3 linked regions of the Coturnix japonica genome follow. The protein of the gene in region 2 interacts with the protein of the main gene of each other region in a pairwise test. Links are inferred from orthologs where the notes say so. Each region holds a gene or a part of one and is shown on either strand. Other genes may lie near its edges.

Evidence for each region.
Region 1: the proteins of TRIM37 (region 2) and PRC1 interact in binary tests that used the Homo sapiens proteins (3 or more experiments, as listed by UniProt). The link is inferred for Coturnix japonica from reciprocal best matches to the Homo sapiens genes TRIM37 and PRC1.
Region 3: the proteins of TRIM37 (region 2) and FAM124B interact in a two-hybrid assay, tested with the Homo sapiens proteins (2 studies listed by BioGRID and IntAct). The link is inferred for Coturnix japonica from reciprocal best matches to the Homo sapiens genes TRIM37 and FAM124B.

The regions. Positions count from the first base shown.
Region 1 is NC_029525.1:18,211,025-18,214,771, reverse strand, and holds the start of PRC1 (protein regulator of cytokinesis 1), read right to left. Parts: upstream 2,181-3,747; 5' UTR 2,058-2,180; coding exon 2,047-2,057; intron 1-2,046. Other genes in the region: VPS33B (vacuolar protein sorting-associated protein 33B), read right to left, coding at 2,522-2,601, 2,702-2,809, 2,877-2,952, 3,184-3,285, 3,584-3,657. UniProt on the Homo sapiens protein: Key regulator of cytokinesis that cross-links antiparrallel microtubules at an average distance of 35 nM. Essential for controlling the spatiotemporal formation of the midzone and successful cytokinesis.
Region 2 is NC_029534.1:5,933,047-5,936,693, forward strand, and holds part of TRIM37 (E3 ubiquitin-protein ligase TRIM37), read right to left. Parts: intron 3,430-3,647; coding exon 3,250-3,429; intron 3,061-3,249; coding exon 2,946-3,060; intron 2,736-2,945; coding exon 2,523-2,735; intron 2,169-2,522; coding exon 2,032-2,168; intron 1,358-2,031; coding exon 1,257-1,357; intron 315-1,256; coding exon 114-314; intron 1-113. UniProt on the Homo sapiens protein: E3 ubiquitin-protein ligase required to prevent centriole reduplication. Probably acts by ubiquitinating positive regulators of centriole reduplication.
Region 3 is NC_029524.1:6,955,712-6,959,458, forward strand, and holds the start of FAM124B (protein FAM124B), read right to left. Parts: upstream 2,412-3,747; 5' UTR 1,719-2,411; coding exon 987-1,718; intron 250-986; coding exon 1-249.

The sequences.
Region 1 (3,747 bases), on a different chromosome or scaffold from region 2:
ACAGCACCACAGCGCCCGCTTCGCATCCCCCACAGCGCCTGCACTCCCACAGCGCTGACATACAACAGCAGCTGGCATCCACGGCGCTGCCATCCCCAAGCGCTGGCTCCCACAGAGCTGCATCCACACAGCGCCTGCAACCCACAGCGCGCTGCATCCCACGCACGGTCATTTCCCACAGGCGCTGCATCCCACAGCGCTAGCATCCCCACAGCGCAAGCATCCCACAGCCCTGCATGCCATCGCACGCTTGCATCAGCCACCAGCGCTGCATTTCCACTAGCGCTGCATCCACAGCGCTGCATCCCACAGCGCTGCATCCCACAGCGCTGCATCCCACAGCGCAGCACCCCACAGCGCTGCATCCCACAGCGCTGCATCCCACAGCGCTGCATCCCACAGCGCTGCATCCCACAGCGCTGCATCCCACAGCGCAGCATCCCACAGCGCCTGCATCACGGCACTGGATCCCCAGTGGCTGCACCCACAGCGCAGCATCCCACAGCGCTGCATACCCACGGCTGCATCCACAGGCTCTTGCTGGCGGCCTTCCCAGCGCCCACCCCGGGCCGTTGTCGTTGGGTGAAGCCTTCGGGCTCACCTAGCTCCCGGTGGCAGGCTCCTGTTGTGCGCTCTTCACCTGGAAGGCTCGGCGTGCAGCTTACGGCACAGAAGGGCCGTCCAGCTCTTCCTGTACACGGCCACGGTCTGCGCATCTGCCTCCCTCCAGGCGCTCTCCTCACGCCACCATCAATGTCCAGCAGGTTTCTGAGGCACAGACGGCATGAGCAAAAACACGCGTACAACACGGCAGCATGGAGCAAAATACAGTTTACAATAAGGCCACGCACAGCCGGCATGGAGCGATAACAACACAACACAGCCACAGCACGCGCACAACACAACACAGCACAGCACCAGCATGGAGCACACACAACACAACACAGCACAGCATTGGAGCACAAACAAACACAACACAGCTACAACACAGCACGCATGGAGCACACACAACACAAACACACAGCACGAGATGAAGCACAACCCAGACGAGCCACACAACACGGCACAGCATGGGAGCACATGTCACAACACAGCACGAAGGCACAGCACAGCACAGGGCATGCAGGAACACACAGCACGGCGCCGTCCCCGTCCCGCGCCCGCCCCCTCCCCCGATCCCCCGCTCCCGACCCCGCCCCGCTGAACCTTTGACAGGTGTCTCTTCACAGCCCCGGTCGCTCGAGCCGCAGTTCCCTCGGGCGATTGCCGATCGCTCACCATATGTCCCGCCAGGCGGCGGACAGGGCGCGAGTTTCAGGCCGTCACGGCCTCGGCCGCCAGCACTCGCTAACGGCGGAGCGGCTCCGAGGGCGGCCGCGACAGCCACCGGGCACCGCCAACACCCGACAACGACACCGGGACACCGCACCCCGCACCACTGCTCCCCCCGCTCCCCGCCGCGGCCCCGGGCCCCATCCCCGTATCACAGCCCATTCTTCCCGTTCCCATCCCCACTCCCCATTCCCGTTGCCCCATTCCCGCTCCGTTCCGTCCGTTCCCGTTCCCATTCCCGTTCCCGTTCCGTTCCATTCCCGTTTCCGTTCCCGTTCCCGTTCCCATCCCGTTCCCGTTTCCGTTCCCGTCCCGTCGCCATTCCCGTTCCCGTTCCGTCCCGTTTCCCGTCCGTTCCCGTTCCGTACTCCATCCCCCGTTCCCGTCCCCGTCCCCATCCCGTTCCGTTCCCGTTCCCCGTTCCCGTCCCGTTTCCGTTCCCGTCTCCCATCCGCGGTCCCGTACGCCGTTCCCGTTCCCCGTAACCGTTCCCTTCCCCGTTCCCGTCCCGTTCCCGTTCCCGTCCCCGTTCCACTCCCGTCTCCCGTTCCGTTCCCGTTCCCATTCCCTTCCCCGTTCCCGTCCGTATTCCCGTTCCGTTTCCAGTTCCCATTTCCCGTTCCCGTATCCCAGTCCGTTCCCCGTTCCGTATCCCGTTTCCGTTCCCGTCTCCCATCCCCTTCCCCGTTTCCTTTCCCGTTCCCGTTCCCGTACCTCCTCCTCATGTCCCCACTCTCCGCCGCCCGCAGCCGCCGATTCAAACTCTGGTTCCTCAGCCGCTCATTGGCTGAAGCTTCGCGCCTGGCCCCGCCCACAACCGCTCCCCAGGTCCCGCCCCCAGCCGGCTGTCAGCCAATGGCAGCCAAGCGCCGTCGGGGCGTCCGCCCAATCGCGAGCCGGAACGGCTGCGTGCGGCCGCTGGGCTCTGAGCGGCGCTCCGCCGCACTGCGCACGCGCGACTTTTGACGCCGATCACGTGACACAGAAACGCGCGCGCCGCTCGGCTTTGAATGACGCCTCGGGACGGAACCGGGATGAACCGGGATGGACCGGGATGAACCGGGATGGAACCGGGATGAACCGGGATAAACCGGGCCGAGACGGACGGTACCAGACAGGGTCGGACTGGACGGCGGCGTTTATTGAGCGGGCCGGGCCCCGCAGCGCAGCCCGCCCCGCCCCAGCGCTGTCACACCTTGTGCTCGGCCATGGCCTCCATCACACGGGAGCTGCTGGTGATGCCGGTGGTCAGGAAGATGAACCGGTAACCTGAGGGCGGGGACAGCACGGCAACATGGGCAGCACTAACACACACGGCCCCAACGCTGAACCCCCGTCCCGTCCCGTCCCTCTCCCCCCCATCCCGTACCTCTCTCCCTGCCCACGAATCGCAGCGCCGCCATCTCGGAGTAGCTGCAGCCCCCAATGAACACGGCCAGCACCACGCGCTGTGCAGCGCCATCCTCCATCGCTCCGTCTGCGGGACACGGCGTCACAACGGCCCCGCCCGGCACCGACCCCCGACACCCCAACACGGCTCCTACCGGCCATGGAGAACTCGCTCCCGTTCAGCAGCCGCAGCACCTCCTCCAGGCCCTGCCAGCCGCGACGCTCCAGCACCTGCACGGCACCGCACAGCACGGTATAGCACGGCATGGTATAGCACAGTATAGCACAGTACCACATAGCACGGTATAGCATGGCATGGTATAGCACAGTATAGCACAGTACCACATAGCACGGTATAGCATGGCATGGTATAGCACAGTATAGCACAGCACAACACAGCATAGCACAGATCAGGGCAGCTCTGGGCACAGGGCAGCACTGAGAGCACCTGGGGGCACCGACCTGCTCGATGATCTTGCAGCTCAGGGGCGTGTAGGCCCCGCTGAACACATACGCCATGTCCCGAGGCACCTTCAGGTTGTACTCGCCGTCCACCCGTGGGATCTGCGGGGAAGCACCGCTTGGTACTGACAGCAAAGCACAGGGGGGTCGGGCTCTGTGTCTCTGTGTCAGGCTGAGCCCCAGGCAGGGCCGGCAGCACAAACTGCCCTTGCAGCACAAACCGCCCTTGCAGCAGGGCCAGAGCAGCTGCAGCTGGCAATGCACACTGAGGCTGGCAATGCACACTGAGGCAGCCGGCAGCAGCCCAGCTCCTGTGGCTGGATGGAAGCTGAGGGTGCAGAGCCCTGGGGATCAGGCACAGACCAGGCACAACCCTCCCAGTAGAGCCCACAGGACGTACCAAGCTCAGTTTCTTGCTTATGGCTCGAAAGTTGCTCTTCTTGGCCAAGGAATTGAATGCATCTGTAATTTTTCCTGGAAATCAAGACAAGAAATGGCTCAGAGCCTTTGGATGCATCGCAGCGACTGCACACGAGCTGTGCTGAGGGTGGCTGTGCAGGGACT
Region 2 (3,647 bases):
AACGGCCCTTCATTCTCTTTTTCCCTGTCCACAAACCTACTTCTAACTCTGGCACTGCATTCTCAAGAGACACTTCCAGTTTGGAATGAAATTGAGATCTGATGTACAGTTACCTCTGTTCTGTAGAAGAGAGGCAGGTGGACGTGGCTGGAGGCCCCAGAGGTTCTCCATACCATTTCTGTCTTTCAGATCCAACAGGTGGATTAAAATCAAGGGATCAATATCAAGTAAACTGCTGCTAGCTGCTGAGCCCAGGGCGCTTCCTCCTCGCCTTGAAGGTCTTCCACTTGCACTGGTGTAGCCATGGCTGGTACCTAAGGAAGAGTTATGAGGAAATAGCATGCATTTAAATGACAAGAGTTGGAAAGTTCATGTAGATGAGGCATAAAAGCATTCTAAGAAGTGTAACAAATATCAGTATTATTTCATGGATTTATGTTCTGAAAGCAGTCAGATGTACTTCAATAGTCTTTAAGCAAAGTGCCACCACAGGAAAGGAAGGGAGGGGAAAAAAAAAAGTGTTTGGCTCATATCTTCCATGTAAATCTCTTAATAAATAGATTGAATAGATCAATTAACAAATCAAAGAGCATTTATTCTCAAGGCACGCACATAAACTTCCTACTTTTTTCACCCTTCCCATTAGATTTATCTGCAGCGTTTCTGGTGAACATTTGTTCTGATCAGGTCATCTCTATGGCTATCTCCACCATATATAAATACACACATATTCAACATTTCAGTCTTATTAGCCTATGGCTCACAGTTTGTGTGATAATAATCTCCAGAAGGCTCGAGATCTTAGAACACCTATTTTAACAATTTCAATCTCTTTCTTCTTGACTCTTAAGATTATTCACTCCCTTCCACGTAGCTGAGATTTCATAGTGCACAAAAACCTGGAGTGATGCATCACACGTTCAGAGGCCACACAGATACGAGTAAAAAGGAAATGCTTTCCAATTTCATTTTCTTGAAATTGAAGGGTTTTCTGAGAGGCACCAAAGTCCCCCTCCTAACTTCACATCCTTTTAAACATCTCTGGATTTCCCCCTGCCCCTTTTATCTTTATTTGAACCAAACCACTGAGATGTTTCTGCTACGCTGCAATAATCAGAACAAACTGCATGATGCAGCACTTCCAAAAATAGCAATGCCTGCAGAACACACAGTTTGACGTCGCTTCCAAAAAGAACAGAGGAAGAAGTCCAGCAGTGCTTTGCCTACATAGGAATTCTGAAGGCTATTTTTCATACCTGACGCCCCAGGAGCGGCAGCAGCAGCTGCTGCATCTTCCATGAGATCTCCTTCTTCCAACTCCATATTATTACTGTATTCCACATCGTTTTCTCCAGACCTTAAGAGAAGATTGGGGAGAAAATGGCAGAATATAGTTATTGGATTCTGGCTGCTCCTGTTAAACACGATGGCACATACCACTAAGAAAAGCACAAAGCACCATGAAGCTCCTGCACTCTGAGCTACACACAGAGTGTATTAATAAAACAACAGACTCCCTAACAAGGAGCCTAAAAGTTTCACACAAATCCAGACTGTAAAATCTCATCCTGTAAACTTTTGTATCCGTACGCATTACAACACATTCTCACGTTTTAATGAATGTTCTCAGATTTGACATTAGTGTGTCAGCTAAGAAAATTAAGCCCTCTGCTTTTCAGTAACTACCTGTCCTTATTAACACTCCTACTGCATCACTTTCTAATACCAAGCTCTATTTCATTGTGACATAGATCAGTGTAGAAACAAATTCCTTACTGTTTTGTCAGAGAATCTTTACAGACTACCAAAGGTAGAAACACCACAAAAGCAAAGGAAGAGACCAGAAAGTAAAGAACCAGTGCCTGAAAATTCTTTGTTTAACATCAACTCTATCAGCTTATGTTACTTCCAGTACAGGAAACATCCCTTATGTTGCACTGACTCCCAAATGCACTGTAACAGTGATATTGCAAATGAATTTTTACTGCTTGGGAAACACAAGGTGATTATCTGGGACTTGAAGTTACTCACATAGTCTCTTCATCGATGTCATTCTCTTCAGTGTTGCTAGTGGCTGTGGAACTAGCTGAAGAGCTACTGCCATCAAGATGGTTCACCTCATCTTCTCCAGCAAGATCTACATCCAGATCACCATCAGAGAGTTCGTGCTACAGAACAAAGAGAAACACTTAACTCGGACCTCACTGCTTCTGCCAAAAGCTACAAACCCAAACCTTCTCCCCACAGAGGTGTCACACTGGAACGTAGAAGTTGGGAGAGTCTGAAAGCACAGTCAGAGCTACATTTTTTAGCTGCAATTGGGAAACCTCCTTACAGTGGGATCAAGTAGCTCTGTTCCACAACATCACGTAAGATACCTCTTGCTAACTGTCAAACACACTGTCTCCTATTTCCACAAAGAGATTAAGTCTCATTTACAATTCAGAACTTCACAAAAGTTCCTACTGCTCATCTATTATAAAAGGCTACATAAAAGAAGGTAAAATAAAGACTGCTCCTACACTGAGGTCTTCATGCTGGATCTTCTCTTCATCCTCTTCCTTGTTATCTCGCGCTGACCCCGGAGCAGTAACATTCTCAAGCAGTGCCACAGTGCTTGGTCCAGACTTCTTTGATCTCGTTTCTGGTCCATCGTCATTCTGGGGACTGAGGTGAGTGTCTGGAGGTGAAATACCTCGTGACTTCTGAGTCCGGGAAAGTTCAATTGTGAGCCTCTTAATTAGGGAGACAGACAGAAACACACACAGAAGATAACAATGGAGCAGCACCATTGAATCAAGTCCTTCTGGTTTATACAAATGTCATCAAAACACAGCATGTGTATCTATCCAAGTCAAAAAATGCCAAATACAAGCTTCATAACCTAAACCAGTGAATTATTAGGCAATACAAGGTGTTTTTGTATTGATACACATCCAACTTACTTCTTTGAGGTTATTGATTTCTTGGATATAACTTGTCTGAGCAGCTTCCAGCTGAGCAATATACCAGTGTTGGTCCCGACACTTCTGGAAAAAGGTTGGTGAGCGCACCTGGAACCTTCAAAGCAATATTTGAGAAGTTTCATTTTTCTGACAGTCTGACCAGCCCTGTGTAAGAACATTGGATGACCTGAAATGTCATCTCACAGACATCCTGCAAGGGCAGCTCAGCCCACAGCAGAAGGGATGGAACTATGATTCTTATGAAATAATAGCAGAACCCCCCCACACACAACATCTTTCTTACCTTAGGATCACAGTGTCATTTTGTCTGTTTAAGTAGCCTTCGTTGGCTAACAAGTCTAGACGAAAGAATCTGTTGTAACCCCAGCACTCTCCAACTTCAAAATCAGAGGCAAACTCCCTAATGATGTTTTTAGTGGGATCGTTGGTGGACTGGTGAACCATTTCTACGCGGTACTCATACCTATGCATAGGAAGATCACAAGGTAAAGACCAAAACAAAGGGGTCAGAACTGCTGAATGCACCAAGCAAAAGCAAACTGCCCTTTCTGAGAAGCCAGCGTGTCCACCCAGAAAGGTGACTCACTTGTAAAACGTTACTGGGGAAAGAAGGCAGAAGCGGGGAGTAAACCACGTCTGAATGCCAGGAGACAGATACTCCCATTAGGTGTTTAGCCAGTT
Region 3 (3,747 bases), on a different chromosome or scaffold from region 2:
GGAGAGCATCGTGGTGCCCCGAGAAGAGCCAGAGAGGCTCCCATTGGGCTGCTGCATGGGGAGGGCATGGCCTGGCACGGGTGTCACCCTGCCCCTCAGGGCCCAGCCCTGCTGGCCTCCCTGCTCAGCGCTGCACAGAGTGGGGAGAGGGGCTGCAATAGGGCTGTGCAGCAGTCCATCCACAGCAACAGCACTGCGCCGGTTGGGAAGCACAGAGCTTGTTTCCCTCTGCTTGGAGCTGTCCTGCACCTGTTGAGAAAAGGTGGAGAGAACTTCCTTAAAGAAGAACTTCCTCACCAAGAAAGGAAAATAAAGAAAATCGAACATACATTGAAATGATTTAAATATCCAAATAATAATAAAAATATCCAAATAGCAACCAAGGAAGCCAGAGGTGTGAGGAGCTGTTACAAAGCAAAGAGCACACAGATGAACTTCCCTCCTGCTCCCACGTACAATCACAGTGAGCACCACCTCCTCAGCACCATCTTAGCCTGGTTTGATTTGTGCTCGCATGCTCTCAGGGCTGCATAGCACAACAGAAAGGGGGCGGCTTTCCCATGGCATTTATTTAGCCCTTTTGCCCAACTGCAATTACAAAACTACCATGGGTGATGTTGCATCAGCGCTGTACTTGCAAAACACCTGGTTTGGGATGGTACGGGGCTAAAACTCTGCTTTCTGGAGCATTTATAAGGTTGCATCAGAAAGAGAACAGGCTGGAAAGGGAAAAAGGTGAATTCAGTGGCTCGAAAAAGAACTAATACCTTCTACTTCGGGTGCTAACAATATGGAAGCATTCTAAGGATCCGTGCTCACATTTATCAATGACATCGTAGCACTGGAAGTTGGTTGCTGAGTTCATGAATTAAAAACGAAATACGGACAAGCAAAACCTTCATTTCCATTTTGAATCAGTCCTGCTCTTTGTTGGAATAGAAAAACCCAAAAGGCATCTGGTCTGCAAGCACCGTGCACACACATACCTGAAGCAGAATTTTATTTCCTTCGTAGTCCTGTGTTTGCCACCTGGTGCTGCTGATAGGAACGCATGGATTGGGCAGGAGAGGCACCAGCTGCCCCATTTCTTGCACCTTGAACTGCAAAAGCGACGACTCCTTGGGCTCAGCAGCCATCCCAATGGGCAGCTGCTTCAGGCAGAGCTGGACCGCAATAGCTTTAGTGGCATAGAGCATGAAGACACAGAAATTGCTTTTCCGTGTGGTTGCTTCTTTCCGTAGGATCATCTCGTACAGCCCCACTGCATCGTCGTAGTTATCAAAGCTGAAGTAGAGGGTCACACGCAGGATTTCGGGGCTGCAGCCCACCCGCCGGATGCCCCACACCGGCATCTGGTCATCCAAGCCATAAAAGTCCTGCAGAGCTGGTGTGTGGGGAGGGCTTCGTGCCCAGGTGGTAGGGACACACTGGTGGTGCCAGGGTGGGCGCTGGAGGAGATCCTGGATCTGGAGGATCCGCTCTTCTCCCAGGTCCTCATGCAGAAAAAGGAGGACAGATATCCCAGGAAAGCCGCAGTTCCTCCTGCGATACCTCTCGTAGTATTTCAGTGGAGCAGCTCGCTCGGACACAAAGAAAAGTGGAACATCTGGGCAGATCCAATCCATGAGACGATCCAGAGCTTGCTGCAGGAACGCCGAGTATCCTGAGTTGGCCAGAAGATGCACAGTCATCAGAGGCTCTGCTCTGTCACCCATCATAAAGCTCCTCTTCAACAAACAAAACCAAACCGAAAACCAGTTTCCTCCTGCAGTGTTCGGAGTGGCAGCAGCACAGGCACTGCACTCTGAGGTAGAAAAAGAACTTGATCACTCAGAAGCTTTGCAACAACCCAATGAGGTGACAGGGTTGCACACACGCACACGAGGCAGGAAAGCGTGCCACGGTGTGATGGGACCAGCTCTGGTTTGCTCACGTCATATCAGAGCTCAGATGCACGTTCTGGCCCAGCAATGTGACCCAGAGCTGGTCACCAGGTGCACACAGCACATGCGCTGAGGCGCTGTTGTGGTGCAGTGACTGTCCTTGAGCAGGGTGCTGGGGGGCTGAAGCAGGAGTGCAGTCGCTCTCCCAATTGCACACATCTCATATATCTCCGGGTGCTCGCCGTGTGTGAAAACCTCAGCGTGTGTTCCTGCAGTCAGCTGCTGAACTTCAGCTTGCTGTGATCTCCCCAAGTCACACCCTTCTGGGGCACACAGATAAGCTATTCTTTAAAAACAAGGAAGGAAAGCAGGCTAACAAAGAGGAAAAAAAAAAAACATGTGAACAGGAGAGATAACAATGAGGGCCAATATGAATCAGGCCCAGGCACTGCAGGAGGAGCCTGGGCTCGGGGCTGTGCACCTCATGGGGCAGCAGTTTGCTGCTCAGCCCACCCCAAGTTGCTGTGCAAGGGTCAGGGGTCTGCTATCCAGAACACTGGACTTGAACTATTCCTCCCCCCCCCCAACTCCTTTAATTAAATACAGCCCTAGCTTTATATGCACCTGAAGAAAATCTCCAGGGTTTAACGGTACAGGGACCTGAGCTTCACGTTTCTTTTATTTAAAGATCACACTCAGTAATAGAAATACAGTCATGAGACCAAAGTAATGTAAGGTCTTAAGAAAGATAGCTGCAGCACTTCCAACAAGTAGTAACTGTTGGGACAGAGACAAAAACATCCAACCCTTGGACAATCACAGGAAGAGCGAAGGCTGCGAGTGTTCAAAACATTACAGCGCTGTAAATGAGCTCTGAACAACACAGAGTATTACTGAAACACCGAAAAAGGAAGCGATTCATCAACTCTTTGCTACAGGGAAGGGTACAAAGAGGCAGGCTGCCCTAAATGTGAGCAGCTCCTGACTTTCCCTCTGCTTCCCCTTCCCCCAGCTTTCCAGTCTGGCTGCCAAGCGGAAAAGCACATTATTCACTGTGACCTACCCAGCATGCCAAGAAAGATTGCTGTAAGAGATTAGGAGAACAGCAGCTCAGCCCTATGTGAAAAATCAGCCTGCGCTCCCACAATGCCCCGGAACACCATCCACACACAGCAGCAACATGCAGCACAGCACAGGGTACGGCATGCTGTGCATTGCTGACCTGAGTAAGAGCACGTGAGGGACGTACTGACCACCAATATAGAACATCAGTAAGCCCAGCATAAATAAATGCCCAGTGCAAACAGCCAACAAGTACTGTATTGTGTGAGGCTCAGAATATGGTCTGTGATGTGTTTCAAGGCTTGTAGTGCAAGGGCACAGCAGAATTATAACTCCTTTCCATAATGAGCTCTTTGATTGCTCCCAGCCCTGAGGTGCTGAGCCCTTCACTCCAGCTGACACCCAAGGACTGATGACGCACCGCAGGATTTAATAAATTCATTGTAACTTCTGTAATGAAGCAACACGGCAAAGGTTCAGGCATTGCAGACCATCGGTAATTAACTTCCAGGAGGGTGCCTGAATTACCTCAGCATCACAGAAGCAGCCCTCATTAAATCCCGGCACTGTCTTGGGCTCGTTAGCCTTCAAGACATTTTTTTTTCCTGCCGATTTCAATTTCTTCCTGCACCAAGGCCAATGACAGCCATCGACAGCAGCACTCAGACAAAAAGCAGAAGTAGGGCCCTACTTGAGCACAATAAGCTTTGCAGCCTGCCTCCTGCCCCAAGCACCGTGCCTCCAAATTCATCAGTTCTGAGGAAAGTAAAACCCCAGCAGTCTGACCTACTGCACTTACGAC